Linked DNA regions of Saccharomyces cerevisiae S288C. The protein of the gene in region 3 binds, or shares a complex with, the protein of the main gene of each other region. Each region holds a gene or a part of one and is shown on either strand. Other genes may lie near its edges. A codon is read from its position in the direction of its gene.

What was found.
Region 1: the proteins of VAC8 (region 3) and ATG13 are in contact, whole or in part, in a crystal structure (PDB 6KBM), measured with the Saccharomyces cerevisiae proteins. Residues at the interface, in NP_010903.3 of Saccharomyces cerevisiae: Val103 (codon at 3,537), Ala107 (codon at 3,525), Gly110 (codon at 3,516), Asn111 (codon at 3,513), Cys144 (codon at 3,414), Asn145 (codon at 3,411), Gly148 (codon at 3,402), Cys149 (codon at 3,399), Thr151 (codon at 3,393), Asn152 (codon at 3,390), Thr155 (codon at 3,381), Lys160 (codon at 3,366), Arg182 (codon at 3,300), Asn186 (codon at 3,288), Gly189 (codon at 3,279), Leu192 (codon at 3,270), Asn193 (codon at 3,267), Thr195 (codon at 3,261), His196 (codon at 3,258), Arg201 (codon at 3,243), Tyr226 (codon at 3,168), Tyr227 (codon at 3,165), Thr230 (codon at 3,156), Ser233 (codon at 3,147), Asn234 (codon at 3,144), Val237 (codon at 3,135), Arg242 (codon at 3,120), Gln270 (codon at 3,036), Arg276 (codon at 3,018), Asn277 (codon at 3,015); in NP_015511.1 of Saccharomyces cerevisiae: Arg661 (codon at 2,790), Ile662 (codon at 2,787), Pro663 (codon at 2,784), Ile664 (codon at 2,781), Arg665 (codon at 2,778), Gln666 (codon at 2,775), His669 (codon at 2,766), Tyr670 (codon at 2,763), Ser671 (codon at 2,760), Gln672 (codon at 2,757), Pro673 (codon at 2,754), Thr674 (codon at 2,751), Thr675 (codon at 2,748), Ala676 (codon at 2,745), Phe678 (codon at 2,739), Gln679 (codon at 2,736), Ala680 (codon at 2,733), Gln681 (codon at 2,730), Ala682 (codon at 2,727), Lys683 (codon at 2,724), Phe684 (codon at 2,721), His685 (codon at 2,718).
Region 2: the proteins of VAC8 (region 3) and VAC17 are in contact, whole or in part, in a crystal structure (PDB 7YCJ), measured with the Saccharomyces cerevisiae proteins. Residues at the interface, in NP_010903.3 of Saccharomyces cerevisiae: Ile20 (codon at 3,786), Arg25 (codon at 3,771), Val28 (codon at 3,762), Thr29 (codon at 3,759), Leu31 (codon at 3,753), Leu32 (codon at 3,750), Leu35 (codon at 3,741), Glu36 (codon at 3,738), Leu55 (codon at 3,681), Asn60 (codon at 3,666), Asn62 (codon at 3,660), Leu63 (codon at 3,657), Arg65 (codon at 3,651), Ser66 (codon at 3,648), Leu69 (codon at 3,639), Ala70 (codon at 3,636), Glu73 (codon at 3,627), Thr151 (codon at 3,393), Ala154 (codon at 3,384), Thr155 (codon at 3,381), Lys160 (codon at 3,366), Gly189 (codon at 3,279), Leu192 (codon at 3,270), Asn193 (codon at 3,267), His196 (codon at 3,258), Arg201 (codon at 3,243), Tyr227 (codon at 3,165), Thr230 (codon at 3,156), Asn234 (codon at 3,144), Val237 (codon at 3,135); in NP_009870.1 of Saccharomyces cerevisiae: Pro296 (codon at 887), Ser297 (codon at 884), Asn298 (codon at 881), Pro299 (codon at 878), Thr300 (codon at 875), Phe301 (codon at 872), Gly302 (codon at 869), Thr303 (codon at 866), Ser304 (codon at 863), Ile305 (codon at 860), Ser306 (codon at 857), Asn307 (codon at 854), Val308 (codon at 851), Ser331 (codon at 782), Ser332 (codon at 779), Lys333 (codon at 776), Leu335 (codon at 770), Leu336 (codon at 767), Ser337 (codon at 764), Phe339 (codon at 758), Ile340 (codon at 755), Ala341 (codon at 752).

What each region holds. Positions count from the first base shown.
Region 1 is NC_001148.4:903,575-911,987, reverse strand, and holds ATG13 (serine/threonine protein kinase regulatory subunit ATG13), read right to left. Parts: upstream 4,771-8,413; coding exon 2,554-4,770; downstream 1-2,553. Other genes in the region: DNA-directed RNA polymerase core subunit RPO26, read right to left, coding at 188-635, 712-731; PZF1 (Pzf1p), read left to right, coding at 966-2,255; GDB1 (bifunctional 4-alpha-glucanotransferase/amylo-alpha-1,6-glucosidase), read right to left, coding at 5,334-8,413. UniProt on the Saccharomyces cerevisiae protein: Activates the ATG1 kinase in a nutritional condition dependent manner through the TOR pathway, leading to autophagy. Required for autophosphorylation of ATG1 at 'Thr-226' and its dimerization. May also be involved in the regulation of autophagy through SNF1.
Region 2 is NC_001135.5:15,047-19,061, reverse strand, and holds VAC17 (Vac17p), read right to left. Parts: upstream 1,773-4,015; coding exon 501-1,772; downstream 1-500. Other genes in the region: chromatin-modulating protein MRC1, read left to right, coding at 1-246; L-serine/L-threonine ammonia-lyase CHA1, read left to right, coding at 2,182-3,264. UniProt on the Saccharomyces cerevisiae protein: Vacuole-specific MYO2 receptor required for vacuole inheritance. Binds simultaneously to MYO2 and to VAC8, a vacuolar membrane protein, forming a transport complex which moves the attached vacuole membrane along actin cables into the bud.
Region 3 is NC_001137.3:127,042-132,667, reverse strand, and holds VAC8 (protein anchor VAC8), read right to left. Parts: upstream 3,844-5,626; coding exon 2,107-3,843; downstream 1-2,106. Other genes in the region: E2 ubiquitin-conjugating protein UBC8, read right to left, coding at 117-768, 892-896; YEL014C (uncharacterized protein), read left to right, coding at 4,060-4,365; EDC3 (Edc3p), read right to left, coding at 4,384-5,626. UniProt on the Saccharomyces cerevisiae protein: Functions in both vacuole inheritance and protein targeting from the cytoplasm to vacuole (cvt). Involved in the formation of nucleus-vacuole junctions (NVJs) during piecemeal microautophagy of the nucleus (PMN).

The DNA.
Region 1 (8,413 bases), on a different chromosome or scaffold from region 3:
ATATTCTATATACACATATCAAAGAAAGCAGTCAGCAGCTTTTTTATTCATACAAACATTTTTATTACCAAATAGGTTATAGCGTGGTTCTCTCGTCCAGTTATTTGCATTACAAAATAAATCGTTCTTTATAGTTATAATAATATACAAACAAAGCAAATACACATAAAGGAAAATGCAGGTGTAATCACAAATCCACAATGAGTTCCTCCACACTCCAGTCCTCAAAGGAACCATCTGGTAAATATCTTCTAATAACCAAAGGAATTTTCTTTTCAGCCAACTCCTTCATGGCAATACGCAATGGATCAGTTTCACCTTCTAAATCTACAAAAACTGGCGCATTCATGGAAATTTGTAGGGCTCTTGTACCTAAAATTCTTGCCCTTTCATATTTGGTCATGTATGGAGTAGTTGCTCTTTGGTCTTTTGGGATGGCCTTTTCCTTAAGTGTCTTTCTTCTTATTTGCTCATGCTGTTGAAAATCTTCTGGGCCATTACCACCAGTAACGATGGTCTTACCGTTGGCATCGGTTGTTTCACCATCCTTGAATTGAGGTTTTTCCTCATAAGTCTCCTCATCAGAAAAATGCTCTACATCAAAATCTTCGAAGTTCTCATTACCGTCGTTAAACCTGTATCACAATGATAGAAGTTAGTAAATATAATTAAAACTAAAGCACGCAATTTCTCCAATATGAATGCACATACGCCTCCTCGTAGTCTGACATGATCACTTGTAGCCTTAATCTTTACACTGTTACCTGCAAAATGTGTCTTTTTAGCCTTTCTTCAAGGTTGTGATTGATGCCTTTGAATGATATTCTTAAAAAAAAAAAAATTTTTTTTTCAATTAAATATCATACTATACGAATAATCAATATACAATGATTATTTATTATAAGAAGAACTAACTATCAAATAAGGGCATTAAGCACAGTAGTAACTGTTGAAATCGCTGTCAAATGGGAGGAGAGGTTCTAAATAATGAAGGAATGCCACTGGCCGAACTTAAACAGGAGACCATTCCCATATCACGATCAGAGAGTTCAGAATCATTGAACAGTTTAACATCAACTAGAAGCTCATCGAGCAATAGGCCAAAGACATATTTCTGTGACTATGATGGCTGTGATAAGGCATTTACAAGACCTTCAATTTTGACTGAACACCAATTAAGCGTACATCAGGGTTTAAGAGCATTTCAGTGTGATAAGTGTGCAAAATCCTTCGTTAAAAAGAGTCACTTAGAGAGACACTTGTATACGCATTCTGATACGAAACCATTCCAATGTTCTTATTGTGGAAAAGGAGTGACGACTCGCCAGCAACTGAAGCGACACGAAGTAACGCATACCAAATCTTTCATTTGTCCAGAGGAAGGATGCAACCTCCGATTCTACAAGCATCCACAATTAAGGGCACATATTTTATCTGTTCATTTACATAAACTAACCTGTCCACACTGCAATAAAAGCTTTCAGAGGCCATATAGGCTAAGAAATCACATTTCTAAACATCACGATCCTGAGGTAGAAAATCCTTACCAATGTACTTTTGCTGGTTGTTGCAAAGAGTTTCGGATATGGTCACAATTGCAATCGCATATAAAAAATGATCATCCTAAATTAAAATGTCCTATTTGTAGCAAACCATGTGTGGGGGAAAATGGTTTACAAATGCACATGATTATTCATGACGACTCACTAGTAACCAAAAATTGGAAGTGTCATATATGTCCTGATATGTCTTTTTCTAGAAAACATGATCTTCTCACGCATTATGGGTCTATTCATACGGAAGAAGATATCCCACTGGAACTAAAATATAAAATTTCTGATATTCAACAACTTGTCCAAGACCACGGAGTTCAACTGGGGAATAGCAAACACTCGAATGAGCAGGATGAAGAGAAGATTTCCAATAGGTTGAGGAAAAGGAGAAAACTTACCGAAAACAATAATGTAGAGTTTTTACAGAATGAAGTGGATTTAGAAAAGCGACTTGAGTCTGGTGAAAATGGGCTAAACCTTTTATTGAATACCGTTGGAAGAAAATACAGATGCTTTTACAATAATTGTTCTAGGACTTTCAAGACAAAGGAAAAATACGAGAAACATATAGACAAGCACAAAGTACATGAGCTAAAGTTAAAAATATTACAGGAAAAGGAAGAAAATAAAACGCTAGTGGACCAGAACCATAAGGAACCTTTTATAATTCAAAAGGAAACGCAGTCAGCGGGTGACAAATAAGCATTTTTTTTTTTTATTTTATATGCTAATTATATTACTGATATACATATTTGCCATTTTGTTACTGCAATTGGTATATCTCACTGTATATAATTATATATTCAATTCAAATGATAGACACATGGATCTTCAAGAGGTAAGAATATCGATAACAAAGAGAAACAAATCCATTATGGCTAATCTTTTTTATTTCAGTTTACTAGTATTGTATTTTTTTTTCTTTTCTTGCATATCTATTTCACCTTTTTTTTGATTATTTTTCTTTAGTTGTGCCCTTTAAAATAAAACTTTACCATTTTTAACCTTCTTTAGAAAGGTTCATATCACTCATGAAAAATACTAGATCATCATCTTGATCATCCTCGTCATTATGCATCACACCAACTGCATCATTCCCATTATGATTGTTATTGTTACTATTACTCCTATTACCATTATCGATTAACTTATTTGCAGGTTTATGAAATTTCGCCTGAGCTTGAAAGGGCGCAGTAGTTGGTTGAGAGTAATGGTATGGTTGTCTGATAGGTATCCTACTTTTTATGAAAGAACTTGAAATGCTATCAATTGATCTTGGAGATATTGAACTTTTGAATTTTGTAGCACTGTTTCCCATTTGGTTGAGCAAACGGTCATTCTCGTCATCATCATCTTCTTCTACTCCTAATTGGTTGTACTTTTGTATTTTGTTGTCGTGGTGATATGAAGTACTCTCTCCACCAAAAATAGGAGGTAAGCCTGACATACCCTGCTTGTTTGAGCTCTTATCTAAAGAATTCCTTCTACTATTCAAGGCACTAGTAGATGAATTCCCACCGCCTCTTGCAATCAAATGGCTTGCATTGGCGCCTTGAGACATTCTCGAGTTCAACGATCCATAATGCATCGAAGGGGATATTGAAGGCAATGGTGAGTGGGAATCTGATCTGCCTCTGTGATATGTATGATTTGGATCCATGGATAAACTTACGGATAAATCTTCACTTAATAAGTCATTACTTGGCTTCAAATTCTGATATCTGATTAGAGAATCAGAAATATTGATATTGGGTGGATTATTTCCACTTGTCTTCTTTATAGTTAGATCGGGTTTTTCTTCGAGTAATTTAACAAAATCCATTAAATCTTCTTGTGATTCTTGAGGTTGTAGTGGGCTCTTTACAGCTTTTGATACTTTTTCAGCATTCTCTGTCGTCTTTACACTTGAGTGACGACGAATGTTCCCAAAGGAGGAGGAATACTTTGAGGTGCTTCCAACACTGGTACCTTCAATATTCATTTGTGGCCCGTAGTTGGAGCTCATACTTGGCCTATGAACAGGTGGTTGGTTGAAAAACGATGAATTAGAGGGATTTCTGCTCGCACTTTGACTTCCAATTGAACCAACTTTAAATGGTTGAACAGGTCTCGATATTGGATAGACTTTCTTCTGCCAAGATTGTGGTTCAAAAGAATTGGCTCTTGTACAAGGAGAAAGTGAAAGAGATCTCCTATCAGGTATCTGTCTTTGTTGTTGTGTCTGGACCTGGTGTTGTCTCTGTTGCTGTTGCTGCTGCTGCTGCTGCTGTTGGGGCTGCTGCTGCTGTTGAAATTGTGGTTGGCGTTTCCCTATGTCTTGATCACTTTGTCCTTCTTGTTCTGGCTGATTCTGGGGTCCTTGTGAGTTATGTGAGACAGATGCATGTCGAGCTGAAAATAATTCGTCGTTTGTATTGTTAATTTCAAACTTCCAATCACGTCTGTATGATACCGAGACTCTTAAGAGTCCAAACTTTGTCCATACAGGTGTGATCTTCTTTTGATCTAAATGGGCTGGCAGGTTTGATTCGTTAAGCGCATTGGAATATGTATTAATAATCGGTTTGCTCAACCCTATTCTCCCCTTCGATAAAATTGGTTTAGATCCGTCAAGGACACACGTCCGGATACTTACTAGTGGGCCCGTGGAAGTTATTGGATTGGAACTTCCTTCATTTTGCGGGCCGTTATAAGACTTTATTAATAATTGGTATAATTCTGTTGTGGGTAGTAACTGTATTAAAGTCAACAAATAACGGAAGAGAAGGACTAGCTGTTTAGAAAGTTCATTAACATCAGTCTCATCTTCACTGTATGATTTGAAAGTTGGGGATGAATTATCTAATTCGATAAGCCAACGTTCCATCACGATTTCCTGCTTCTTAGTTCCTTTGCAAACGTTCCACAAATGGCCTTCGTGGTCCTTTAATCTAACTAAATGAGACGAGTTTAACTGTCTTAAATCCAAATATGTCTCTACCACTAAGGGTGGCAACTCTTTTCGACCATCGTAGTGAGACCATTTTGATATTATCTCGGGTAGCTCACTCACTAATTCTGAGTGATCTTCAAACCATGTGTCGTCAAATAGGAATATATTTTCTGTAGAAGACTGGTATCGACTTGATTCGGTGGAGCATATTAGTAGTGTAGTCTTCAGAAAAAAGCTGTCTATCAATTGAAGGACTTGCTTCTCGATGTCCTCTTCGGCAACCATGACTCATGCTATTCAACCGGGCTGTATGTTCTGCTTTCTTTTCAAGACTTGAGCCTGGAAGGTGTAAGTGGAATGTATTTGGTACCTATGAATTCGTTCTATATCTATGTGAGGTAACGAAAATCTATACACCCTTGTTTCTACTTCTCGCCTCTTTCTGTAACTGCCGCTGCTCACTTAGTTAAAAACTTAGATCTTAGCGAATTAAACAAAACAACAAAGATATCGAATTGATTGTAACACGCAAACGGCTCACTCCGGTTCAAATACGTACGTGGCAACCCTTTCACCTCTTGCTCTGACGCGTTTTGTCCCCCTTGGTTGGTGCTGTCCTTCACTTTCACGTGTGTTCCCTTTATTTCTTTTATTTTCGTTTTCGCTCTCGCTCCTCAAAACGATAATACATATACAAAAATATACGATTTTTATTTGTTTTATTATCAATAGAGATAGGGAGGTAAAAATATGTAAATATATATATATGTATATATAGTTGAACAGAAATAAAAGTATTAGCGGGTGGCAAAAAGGGACCGTTCAATTAATTTATGCTTTAGCTATTTTCAGGAATCATCTTCGTAGGCATCCCATAAATCATAAAATAGATCTAACAAACAAGCAGAACTCCAGGCTTGCGTGGGGCTTGAGTCATTGCATACTTCACCATCTTTATTGGTTAGCTCTGTCAATCCTGCCCACACACTTTCAAAAATCCATTTTCTATGGCCTTTTAATCTGTAGTATAATTGTTGATACAAATAAGAGGATGGTTTCTCTTTGGCAGCATTCTGACAACGTGGACTGGTTTTAAAGTGGAAATGATGGAACGCTCTTAAAAAGTAGCCGTAAAGCCAGACCCACTCAGGGCCTTGGTGATAGTTTCTACCCTTTGAGGTGGCAAAATCATCCGAATCTTCTCCGTTGTTGTAGTACGGACGGTAATTGTAATCGCTTGGGTCTAAAGTACGCATACCTACTGGACCTCTTAAGACTTCATCTGCAATGGTGATTGCTTTTATGGCATGCTCAGGCACAAATAACTCTGGTGCCACAGTCATGGCAATAGCAAAATTTGGTCTTAACTGATAATCTTCATAAGGCTTTCCTGATTTGTACAAATCTCTGTATATCCCCCGTCTATTAACACCCAATTTAGCGCTCACGTCATAATCTGCATCCTGTGATGGATCCTCCGGAACATAATATCTTTTTTCGAAATTGTCTTGAAGTAATTGATTCCATTCAGTGAAATCGATCCTCCCGCCGTCCTGCGTCTCCACATCGGAAAACTTAAACAATCCCTTGTTTTTTAGTTCAATAACAAACCTTAAAGCACTTTTTAAAAGCCCATTGATTTCTATTGCGGCTCCATCTCTGGGTGTTCCAGGAATACCAACAGACCCTGCTTTTTCACTTTCACCCATCTTATCCATCCAAGTACCACAGTTATACTGAGATCCACCATGAATTAAGCCAGTCGACCAATCGACATGAATTTCAACATTAAACCCTTTATCAGTCATAACACGATCTAAATTTGGACCTGCATTAGCCTCTCTGAATTTAATTCCCTTGGCATGCCTACTCAAAATTTCATAAATGATCTCCTCCAAGGTACTAGAGTAACTAAATGCCCTTGGATCATCTACAGGAATGTAAGTATCATCCAGTGGGAATCTCCTTGTTACTTGCTCTTGTAATATTTTTTCGCCATCAGGAACAATATAAACATAATCCTGTACAGCTTGCAAGAAGAACCAGGCAGCATCACGAGCATTATATCTCGGGTTTCTACCGGCATCCAGCAAGTTTGGAATTAAACCATGCTTCAAAGTCTTTGCAAAGGCTAGTATATGAGCTTTAGCTTCATCAAATCTACCTGTTGTTAATAGCATACCTCTTAGCGATATGAATACATCTCTCCCCCAACATCTCATGTAGTTTACGCTAAAGTGTGGCAACCCTGCAGCCATAGATGGAACATTTTCGCCTGGTAAAATAGAGGTTGACTTCATTCTGGAAACCATCTGGATTGATGTCATAGATAAGCTTTGTACAAACAATGTAGATTTACCAATATTACGGGACATTAGCTGTATTGCTTTTAAGCGACAACAACCATAGAGGATGCCGATAATTAAGGCGAAATAACTGGGCACTAAGTAGCTCGGTAACTTTTTCACTCTATCAAACCTTGAACGCAGCCAGTTCTGCACTTCATTGATTCCTGCTTCATCGCTATAGTAATTAAGTCTACTGATAGTGTAGTCTAAAGCCCAATGTCCATTTCTTAAATTTGCACTGAGGGGATGTGCTAAATCATTGTAAAACACAATTTTTCTTAATACGGAAACCCAACCTTGCAGACCACAATACACAGGCTTTCCAAAATTAGGAATAATATAAGCACCACCTTCGCCGGCGCTAACATCGTATTCTTCCGGCTCACTACGATACAAGACGGAATTTATTGACTCTAGAGTCAAACTTGAAGTGGCCTTTAAAGCACCTGACCTTATAAAATGATCTAAGGATTCGTCCACACCATTCTGTTGGGTCTCAAAAATGGCAATAGATCCTTGAGGGAATTCATTGGGCAGTTTTATCGTTGAAATCTTCTTAGAATCATCATAAGAAATGTCAAACCCTTCAAGCTCCTTTAATTTCGTGGGAATACCTTTAATGAATTTATCGTCGTTGGGAATTTCATCGCCAACTCTTTCCAAAGCATACGAAAACCTGAGAGAACAGGTGGATTGGTTTAACACCACTGGTGGTAAAGTCTCGTTAGGGTCATCATTGTCAGAAAATTTCATCCTTGCTATCAAGTACCAACCTTTTCCGGATTTAACATCCATACGATGAAAAGTAATGTACTGGCCCTGGTGATGCACATGCATTTCTGAGTCTTCAATGTCATACGCCTTTTCTCCTATACTCGTTCTAATCGAATTCAAAGTGGCCTTGACTTTGGTTATTCCTATCGAGGGGCTACCAGTAGGCGTAGAAATGTCATAATGTCTTTTTTCAGTGACCAAATTCAGTAAATGTGGAAAAATTTCGTCGTAGCCATAAACAGATCCAATGGCGGACGAGCAAAGAGCCACCAATGCAGCATTGGGCAAAGTATCCTCCACTGTTCTTTTTTCAAAGGGAGTTTCATTATCATGGGTACAGTCCATGAATAAAGCGTGTGGCGGAGTGGCGGTTAAAATCTTTGGAATCATGATCTCTGATACACATCTTATGGAGTTATCGTTGGAGTCGTTGAAACAATGCTCCTCGTTTAAATTAATATCCGCAGGATATGAGAAGTCATCCATAGGAACAAACTTATAGGAGCCAATGGGCCTCCCGCCATGCTTATGGACTAATCTAGACAACTCTTCTTCGGACCAGGCTTGCATTGCCTCTCTGATTAAAGAGGAGATACCCAACCGTTCAACAAACAGACAATCTAGTGTTTCGGAACCAGAAAACAGCTCTGCAACGACATATAGGTTCGGGTTGTATTTTCTTGCCAAATCTAGGAAATATTCGCCAACATGTATTGGAGTAGAATGGCAGTTGTCAATTCTGAACCCGTCAAATATCTTGGCGTTCATTTCTATATACTTGGACATTCTTTCCCACAGATACGGAG
Region 2 (4,015 bases), on a different chromosome or scaffold from region 3:
GACATAAATGATAAGTTTAAAGAAGGTAACAAGACAGTCAAGATTCTAAAGTCTTACAAGACAGTGGGGAGTTCAAAAGCTTCTATCACATATATGGGGAAAACGAGAAAATTAATAGCACCAAAGAGGAAAACTGAAGGGAGCCACCGCTACCACCATGACCATCATAATAAAAAAATGAAAATGAAAACGAAAACAAAATCGAATAAACTTTTTGAAAGCGGACAAGATAGCTTTGATAATTAGTGGTTTTTTATCTTTTCCGAAGAAGTTGATTGAACTCCAGAAGCTGTCTTGAAGTAGTCGCATTAAAAAAGATGGCACCCGAGTCTAGGCCAAGCCATAGTCATGTTATGATAGGATTTTATAAGACAAATATTATAAAGAAGTTTAATAATAATACAAAAAGATACAAAAAAACTTGAAGATATTCTGAATAAAAAAAAAAAGAATAAACATTTGGAGCAAAAGAAGAGTAGGTTAGGTAAAGGAGGCATTAATTAAAACAGCAGTTCTGTATTCAAAGCATCTTGCAATTCTTCTATAGAGACGCTTATATCCATATTATTTTTTTGTTCCTGTGCTACATTATGATTTGATATTCGTTCTTCATTCATGCCCTTATTCTTTCTCCCCCTCTTACTTTGAAAAGATTCTGATATTGTGCTTAACGATGAATTAAACTTATCCATAAAAGATGCATGCTTAAGATTTGTGTTGTTCTCTTTTACCGTATGTGTATCTGATCGTGCAATGAATGATGATAACAACGCCTTAGAACTTGAAATACGAGGACCATTACGACTAGGAGCCATTGTCGCTGCAACAGTTGGATGACAGTTCACTTGGACATTTGATATCGAAGTTCCAAACGTCGGATTAGATGGCCTGAAGAATGAGGCGGAGAAACTTCCCAGATTGAGCGACTTAGAAGGTGCTGGTTTGTTAGATAGTATACTTTCGTGAGAGTTATATCTCCTTAAAGGTTCGAATTCAGCACCCTTTGCGGTCACACCAACATGTGGAGGGGTACTTATGTTTGGTAGAATGATAGTATCTTGATCAGAATCAAAATCTTCATCATCCATTTCATCAAAGAAGGTCAACGAAAGTCTTTGTCTATTTTTGAAGAAAGACTCATACGTATCCGAGGAAGACGGTTTCTTACTTTTGTTCAAGCCAGTATCATGTGATTTGGCTGCACGTAAAGTGCGATTTCTTGCAGGTTGTTTTTTAGGTGAGCACGGTAAAGAGTTAGTTTTCGAAGGACAATCGACTTCATTGATGGGGTTAAAGCCTACCGATTTTTTTGGTGGTTTCGATGGAGTTACCATACACAGACGTTGCCTCTCAATTATTTTCAATGGTCGAGGTTGAAATGACCCTAAACTACTTCTGGTGGATTGCGATTGTGGAGAATCATTAGGCGCTTCATTTGGGACGGTGGCCAGCTCGTTCAACCTCAAAGTGATATCCTGGAATTCACGAACCAAGTCTTCTATGCGTTGATGCTCATTATCCTCTGTGATCAATCTGCGTTGTTGTTCCTTGCTCAACTTGTCTCGAACAGATTCCGATCTAACATACAAAGAGTTCAGTTGAGACATATACTGGTTGTACTGTTGGGATAACTTATCCAATGACTCTTGATCTGTTGTCTGGCATATTGATGATCTCTGCTGACGTTGTATCCACAGATCTAATTGCAAGATAGCCTCTTGCGACCTTATTAAAAGCCTCTCCGTGATATCCTCTAGGGCTTGGGTTGCCATTAATCGATGTGTCCTTGTTTCCTTATGCGAGCTGTTTCTTATCTATCTTATGGTCCCATTCTTTACTGCACTGTTTACATTTTGATCAATTGCGAAATGTTCCTACTATTTTTCTTTTTCTCTTTTCGCGAGTACTAATCACCGCGAACGGAAACTAATGAGTCCTCTGCGCGGAGACATGATTCCGCATGGGCGGCTCCTGTTAAGCCCCAGCGGAAATGTAATTCCACTGAGTGTCATTAAATAGTGCCAAAGCTTTATCAAATTGTTTGCGATGAGATAAGATAAAAGGGACAATATGAGGAGGAACACAGGTATATAAATATCGCCAAATAAAAGGAAAATGTTTATACAGTTTTCTCTTTTTTAAGTGCTGGATAGACAAGAGACAGGAAAATTAACCAGCGAGATGTCGATAGTCTACAATAAAACACCATTATTACGTCAATTCTTCCCCGGAAAGGCTTCTGCACAATTTTTCTTGAAATATGAATGCCTTCAACCAAGTGGCTCCTTCAAAAGTAGAGGAATCGGTAATCTCATCATGAAAAGTGCCATTCGAATTCAAAAGGACGGTAAAAGATCTCCTCAGGTTTTCGCTAGTTCTGGCGGTAATGCCGGTTTTGCTGCTGCAACAGCATGTCAAAGACTGTCTCTACCATGTACAGTCGTGGTTCCTACAGCGACAAAGAAGAGAATGGTAGATAAAATCAGGAACACCGGTGCCCAGGTTATCGTGAGTGGTGCCTACTGGAAAGAAGCAGATACTTTTTTAAAAACAAATGTCATGAATAAAATAGACTCTCAGGTCATTGAGCCCATTTATGTTCATCCCTTCGATAATCCGGATATTTGGGAAGGACATTCATCTATGATAGATGAAATAGTACAAGATTTGAAATCGCAACATATTTCCGTGAATAAGGTTAAAGGCATAGTATGCAGCGTTGGTGGAGGTGGTTTATACAATGGTATTATTCAAGGTTTGGAAAGGTATGGTTTAGCTGATAGGATCCCTATTGTGGGGGTGGAAACGAATGGATGTCATGTTTTCAATACTTCTTTGAAAATAGGCCAACCAGTTCAATTCAAGAAGATAACAAGTATTGCTACTTCTCTAGGAACGGCCGTGATCTCTAATCAAACTTTCGAATACGCTCGCAAATACAACACCAGATCCGTTGTAATAGAGGACAAAGATGTTATTGAAACCTGTCTTAAATATACACATCAATTCAATATGGTGATTGAACCGGCATGTGGCGCCGCATTGCATTTGGGTTACAACACTAAGATCCTAGAAAATGCACTGGGCTCAAAATTAGCTGCGGATGACATTGTGATAATTATTGCTTGTGGCGGCTCCTCTAATACTATAAAGGACTTGGAAGAAGCGTTGGATAGCATGAGAAAAAAAGACACTCCTGTAATAGAAGTCGCTGACAATTTCATATTTCCAGAAAAAAATATTGTGAATTTAAAAAGTGCTTGAAAATCCAATAACTTTTTCGTTGAAGCATCAATTTGCCCTTGATAATTTTCATACATGTACTACATACATTTTACTCATATATCACTATTTTGCTAGTATTGATTTTTTCCAGAAGTATTAGTGTAAGATTTCTCGAAGTAAGCATCAACATATCCAAAACGTTGACATATTTCTAGGCCGGCAATGCACAGAATTTGTATAAAGGGGGACATGCTGCAGAAATTTGCTCAAAATTATCCATGAAAGAAGTACCAATGAAGCACTAGCCTGTTCAAATTCACTTGATACTCGAGCATAAAGCATAAACTACTGCTTTTTAACTTATAATTTCTACCTCTAACACTCAGTGCAGTCTGTAATAAAACACACCAGATATCGTTCTATTAGTAATATAATTATGCTTCTCACGTCAAATTTACTAGCTCGAGAGTTAGTTAATCCTTACTAAGTGAAGAAAAGCAACTATAGTCATAGCAAACATAACATAACATAACATAAAATATAGGTTGTACTTTGTCAATAGAAATACAATCCTATGTATTCCTATAGATTTATAAGAATGTGTTCCGTAATAATCTTCCCAGCTGGTAACATCTAAGGTATTTATATTTTGCCGACATTTGCAGCTCTTTCATCAATAATCATTTTATACCTCTAACTTAGAATGTTTCAGCTTGAATCTTAATCATATATTACAGTAAAGCCCCTCGTTTGTATAAATACCGTAACTCTTTAGTATAAAAATGTAAGA
Region 3 (5,626 bases):
TGTAGTTGCTTGATAGTTGTTTGTAATTATAGTCGTACGTGTGGTATAGTATGCCATCATATATACTTATACATACATACATATATATATATATATATATATGTGTGTGCTCGAAATTATTGATTTGCGACTTCGTCGTAGTCATCGTCATCACTGACATCTATGTCACTTAGATCCTCGCTTAACTCATCTACGCTATCATCGCCACTGGAAACACCAGTGCCATCCATATCTTCATCAGAATCACTGTCCTCTTCTTGTAAATCACCGCCGCTATCACTGTCATCGCTATCATTATCTCCGCCAAACATTTGTTGGTACTTTTCCTTTGTAGCATACTTGTCTATATACTCTTTGATTTTTTCCTCATACAGTTTTTTATCTCGTAATTGCAATGTGGCAGCTTCGTTATTCAAGGGATCGCTACCATTAGGCTCCTTTAATAAACCTGGTATCATCCACTCCACTATATTTATCAGATCATATAAAGGCGACCATGTAGAGTTAATTACGTCCAAACATATGGACCCCGATGCGATATCAATGTTAGGATGGAATATCTTGTTAACGAACCCTATGCTTGGCGACTTGTATGGGTAATTATCCGGCAACTCTACATGTAACCTCCAAACCCCATTTTCGTAGGGTGTATCCTTTGGTCCCAAGAACTTTACATGAAACTCTTGCATGCTATCATTGATTAAATCCACTTGATGATCACTCATCAACAGTTTCATAACATCTGTCTCGATCCTTCTTTTAGAGCTACTGTTTCATTAAACGATATCTTTGAAGTTCATTGACATTTTCTTTGTTAGTGATCCTCATTCTATGGCATACTTTCTCAGAAGAGTGATATATAAATATACGTATATATCTTATCAAACATACCTCATCTTTCGTATTACGCTCCTTTCTTCCAATATTCCTTATGAAATACTATTAATATTTTGCTCTTACTTCTAAATTATATTCGAAAACTATCTCGCTTGATAATTACGGATTACACTATTTATCAAATGTGGCAGAACTGGAAATCCTACCTATGCTTTACGTTAGTGATACTTAAGCGCAGATAGCTGTTTCCGGTGCTCACCCTTTTTTTTTTTAATTCCACTGCTCCGGGAGCATTACCCGGTGGACGAAGCTCAACCTACTATTATTAAATAAGAAAACGTAAGAATGTATATTTACGCAGATGTGCACACGAGCATTGAAACAAGGATTAATGTGCCACTGATAGAATTCAGACTGCTGTGTGATTAAGAGGAAAACAAATTATCGTGAAGAATCGTTGATTCGCCTTTATATATTCTTGTATTCTTTAAGAGACATGCATTGCGATAATTTCCCCATGATATTCTTAACCTTATGAAGGGTCAGTCTACTGGAAGGTGCATGAAATATGAGTGAACGTATTTTCATTAGCAGATGAGAGACACCGGGATTAAAAAAACTATGTGAAGAATAGTGTTGATATATGATAAAATTATTGTGGAAATCAATAATTAAGAGGTTTTATAGTGTAGTGGTTATCACTTTCGGTTTTGATCCGAACAACCCCGGTTCGAATCCGGGTAAGACCTATTTTTTTCCCCCGCTCAGCTAACTTGTATTTTTAATAGATCTCCCACCATCAGAGGACGAAGAGAGAACTGTATTATCAATTGTGTTTTATTACAATATATTCTAAAAACGAAGATATAGATGTTATCTAGAATTGGTTTTTGTATGTAGCCCTTCTCTCCCGCTTTCTCACTTTTTGAACATTACCTCACTACAGTTGCCATTCAACAATGTAACGAACATTATCCGTAGGTAAAATTTACGACACTTCAAACTTCTAGAAGGAAATAGGCATATACTACGGAACAAAGACAGCCTCTTATTCGTTTTTAAGTTTTTTCTTCTTTTATTAACAAAAAAAAAAATAAAATAAAAAAAATCAATTGAAATTAGAATAGAGTAGAGTAGGTAGAAGTAATATGATGTAAAAAAAGGAAACAAAGATTAAAAAGATGGAAGAAATGGAGAGAAAGAAAATAAAACTTCTGAGAAGAAAATTTTGATAAAAATTATAATGCCTAGTCCCGCTTTTGAAGAAAATCAATGTAAAAATTGTAAAATCTGTTGAGTAATATTATACAATTCCAAACTTGCATCCTCTACAGGTTGATGTTCAGATCCTGTGTCATTGTTATTACTGTTGTTATCATTCGAGCTTGGATTGTTGTTGCTCCCCGGATTTTTAACATCAATTCCTGATCTTTGTAAACGCTCAAAGGTCACATCTGCCATTTTTCTCACTCCGTTAATGATGTCGTCATCATTTTTAACCAAATCTTCCACTTTATCATTATGACTTTCTAGCAATTGTAAAATTGTCCATAGCGCAATGTGTTCAAAGGTAGCATAGTCACTTTTCAAAAATCTAATCAGAAATCCACGAATGCCTTCATTCGGACGATCCCATGCTTCAATAATTTTTGTATAATTATTCACTCTTGAACATAGATTTGCCAAAGCAGCAGCAGCATTACCAGAAACTTCTTGGTTCTGGGAAAAAGTCATAGGGATTAAAGCATCTAAGATATTTGCTTCCAGTAGATCCAATTTGGAGACATCTGCTAGGGCTAAAATAGCAAAACATGCGGAAATTTCACTTTGAACACTAACAGGTGAATCTAGAGCCAGTTCCTTACATTTTTCGACAGCACCACTTTCGAAGAACTCTTTTCTGTTTTTTTCAGATGATGCAGCCAAATTTCTCAAAGTAGATACGGCGTGACATTGAATTTCTTCTGAATCCTTATAGTCCAACAATCTTACTAATGGTTTTAAGAAACCTGCATCAACAATTAAACCTTCATTTAGAGGGTGAATAGAAATGTTTCTAATGCATGCCACACTAGCCAAAACCAGTGGTATAGAATCACTTTGAATCAACTTTACCAAATGAGGCAACCCACCAGCCCTTACAATTTCTAATTGGTAGCTTGTATCGGACGCTAGGTTTCGTAAAGCCAAAGTAGCTTGACATTTTACCCTTGAAGATGGAGAATCCATCAGACTAACCAATTTGGAAACCAATCTTGGCTCAGTTTGAGCCAACTTCTTGCGATTGGCTTCATCCACTGCTATATTTGATAAAGCAGTAGTACAATAGTACTGAACATCAGGATCGGTGGACGACAGTAAAGATACCAATACAGGCACAGCACCTGCATTAACCAATTCTTTTCTATTTTCCTCAGAATGTGTCATATTTAATAATGCACCTGTAGCATTTCTCTGAACTCTTATATGTTTGGATTTAGCTAGCTTAGTCAATGGAATTAAAGCACCAGAAGTAGCAATCTTATGTTTATTGTCATCCCTTGTGGCTAAATTGGTAATGCATCCAACAGCATTACATTGAACTTCTACATTGTCACCCATCATTTGGTTTATTAATGGCTCTAAGCCTCCCATTTCCACAATTAATAATTTATTTTCATTATTAACGGCCAAATTACCCAAGGCTGCACAAGCGGCCACTTGAATCTGTGGATCTTGGCTTTGTAATAATATTAAGATGGGTTCCAGTACCTCTCTAGAGACCTGACGGACGTATTTTTCAGTAATTTCTGCGAATGCCAGAGCGGCGCTCCTTTGCAAATTTAGATTATCTGAATACACCAAAGTAGTTAGGGCCTTTAGTGGACCACCAGAGTAAAAGTCTAATTGGTCTTTATCCTCCAAATACCCTAGTAATAAAGTCACCGCTTCTCTTTCATTATCGGCAATTGGTGAGACACTGGCCTCGTCTGAAGAATCTTTCAAGCAACTACAACATGAACCCATAGTTGCAAATGTATATATAGTACAGAAGAAAGAACACCCTTATAGTTTGCTCAGTTCCTGTCTTCGTAGGATTGGAAATTGGCTAATTGCTTTTTATAGGGTTGTATAAATATATAATACCTTATTTTAACAACAAAAGGAAAAGTAGGAGATTGAACAGCGAGTCAACAAAAAAAAACAGAAAGCAAAGCAGACTCACACAAAAATTTGATCACAATGACAGCACTATTCTGCCTTGAATTGAGAACTAATATATTTCTAATAATGAATGATTGTATTATTATCAATTACTGGAAAGGGTTCATTTTTTCTTTCCACTCGTATTTTTTTCCTTTTCGTTTTGAGTCCTCCTTAAGGGCTCATTACCCGGGAAAGAGAAATTATTCAGATTTTTCTGTTATACCGTTACCTTATTATATAGATGTTCGCAGTTTTCATATTTGTGAGAGCCAACACATTATTGCATTACCGCTACAGATCCCACTTCCTTACCGTATGCTTATACGTATGTATCCAGTTTAGGCTAAAGTAATTCTTGGTTTACAAATCTAATAGCAGGGACCCGTCAGTGACGAAAAGATCACAGTTTTGGAACTTACGCAAAGAAGTTCTCTGTGAATAGGCGCCCTGTGGTATACCTATATCAATCAAAACAGCATCTTCTAGACTTGGCAAATTTGCAATTAAGTTGTTGATGGCAATCAAAGGCCAGCCAGAACAAATAATTCCTGTTGCTTCAATCCTGTCTGAAAAGAAAATATCTGGCATGCCGGATCCCGCATCAAACCCATTTGGAATATCCAAAGACCACACTTTAGTAGATCCTCGCTGTTTGTTACACCATGATATCATGCTTTTAATTCTGCTTTCAATAACTTCCGACGTCCCCGCCAGATCGCTCAATGTACAGTCATATCCCTGCATGGCATCGATGACTATTTCTACAGGGCTATTTAATGTTTCCATAGCAGATTCCAGCGACGATACACTATTAACAATTTTTCCGCCACACTTCTTGTAAATATCTGTTTGCTTTTTGACCATGGAATCCTGTAGTTCATTTTGAGAACATGTAAATAATGTTATGACACGGATATGCCCCGTTTGGCAAAGATGTCTACCCAACGCCAGAGCTTTCGCACCAGATCTGTTGGAATCTGAGGCTAGTATTACTACTAAAGGTTCCGGATTAGAATTTTGTAAACGTAAACGTGCACGGCCACCTAGTTTCTGCTTTAAGAAGAACGATGCGTTTACAGCAAAATTTTCTAGTAGCCCTGCCGAGTTAATACTGAAAAATTCGGACGTGATGCTCTCCATTTCTAGTAGTTGTACTGGTGTAGCCATAGGAATGTTCTGCTTAGTGTTCTTTGATCTGATGGTTGTTTGTTTATTTGCAGCTGGCAAGGATGTTGAGTTGGATCTTGACTGGCTGATGATCATCTGGCCTAATTTAGCTAGTACCTGATCCTTATCATTTATAACTGTACCTTTCGTTTTATCATTTATGGATGGAGAGTTAGTTGCAGAGTGAATTAAATGTGTAATATTCAAAGACTGAGTTATTGGTAGGTATTTGGGATCATCGATATCATCGACATCGTATTCATGTTCATCATCTTCCAAAACCAGATCATCTTGAGCATCTTGTTGCGGCTGAGATTGGTGTGTGCTTTGCTCATTTCTTGAAGAAATCTTGTTCCATGAATCTTTCTTTGCATCTGGAATAACCAATTCATCATTTTGATAATTATTTTGCTGCAATTGGGTTTGCTTTCTGTTA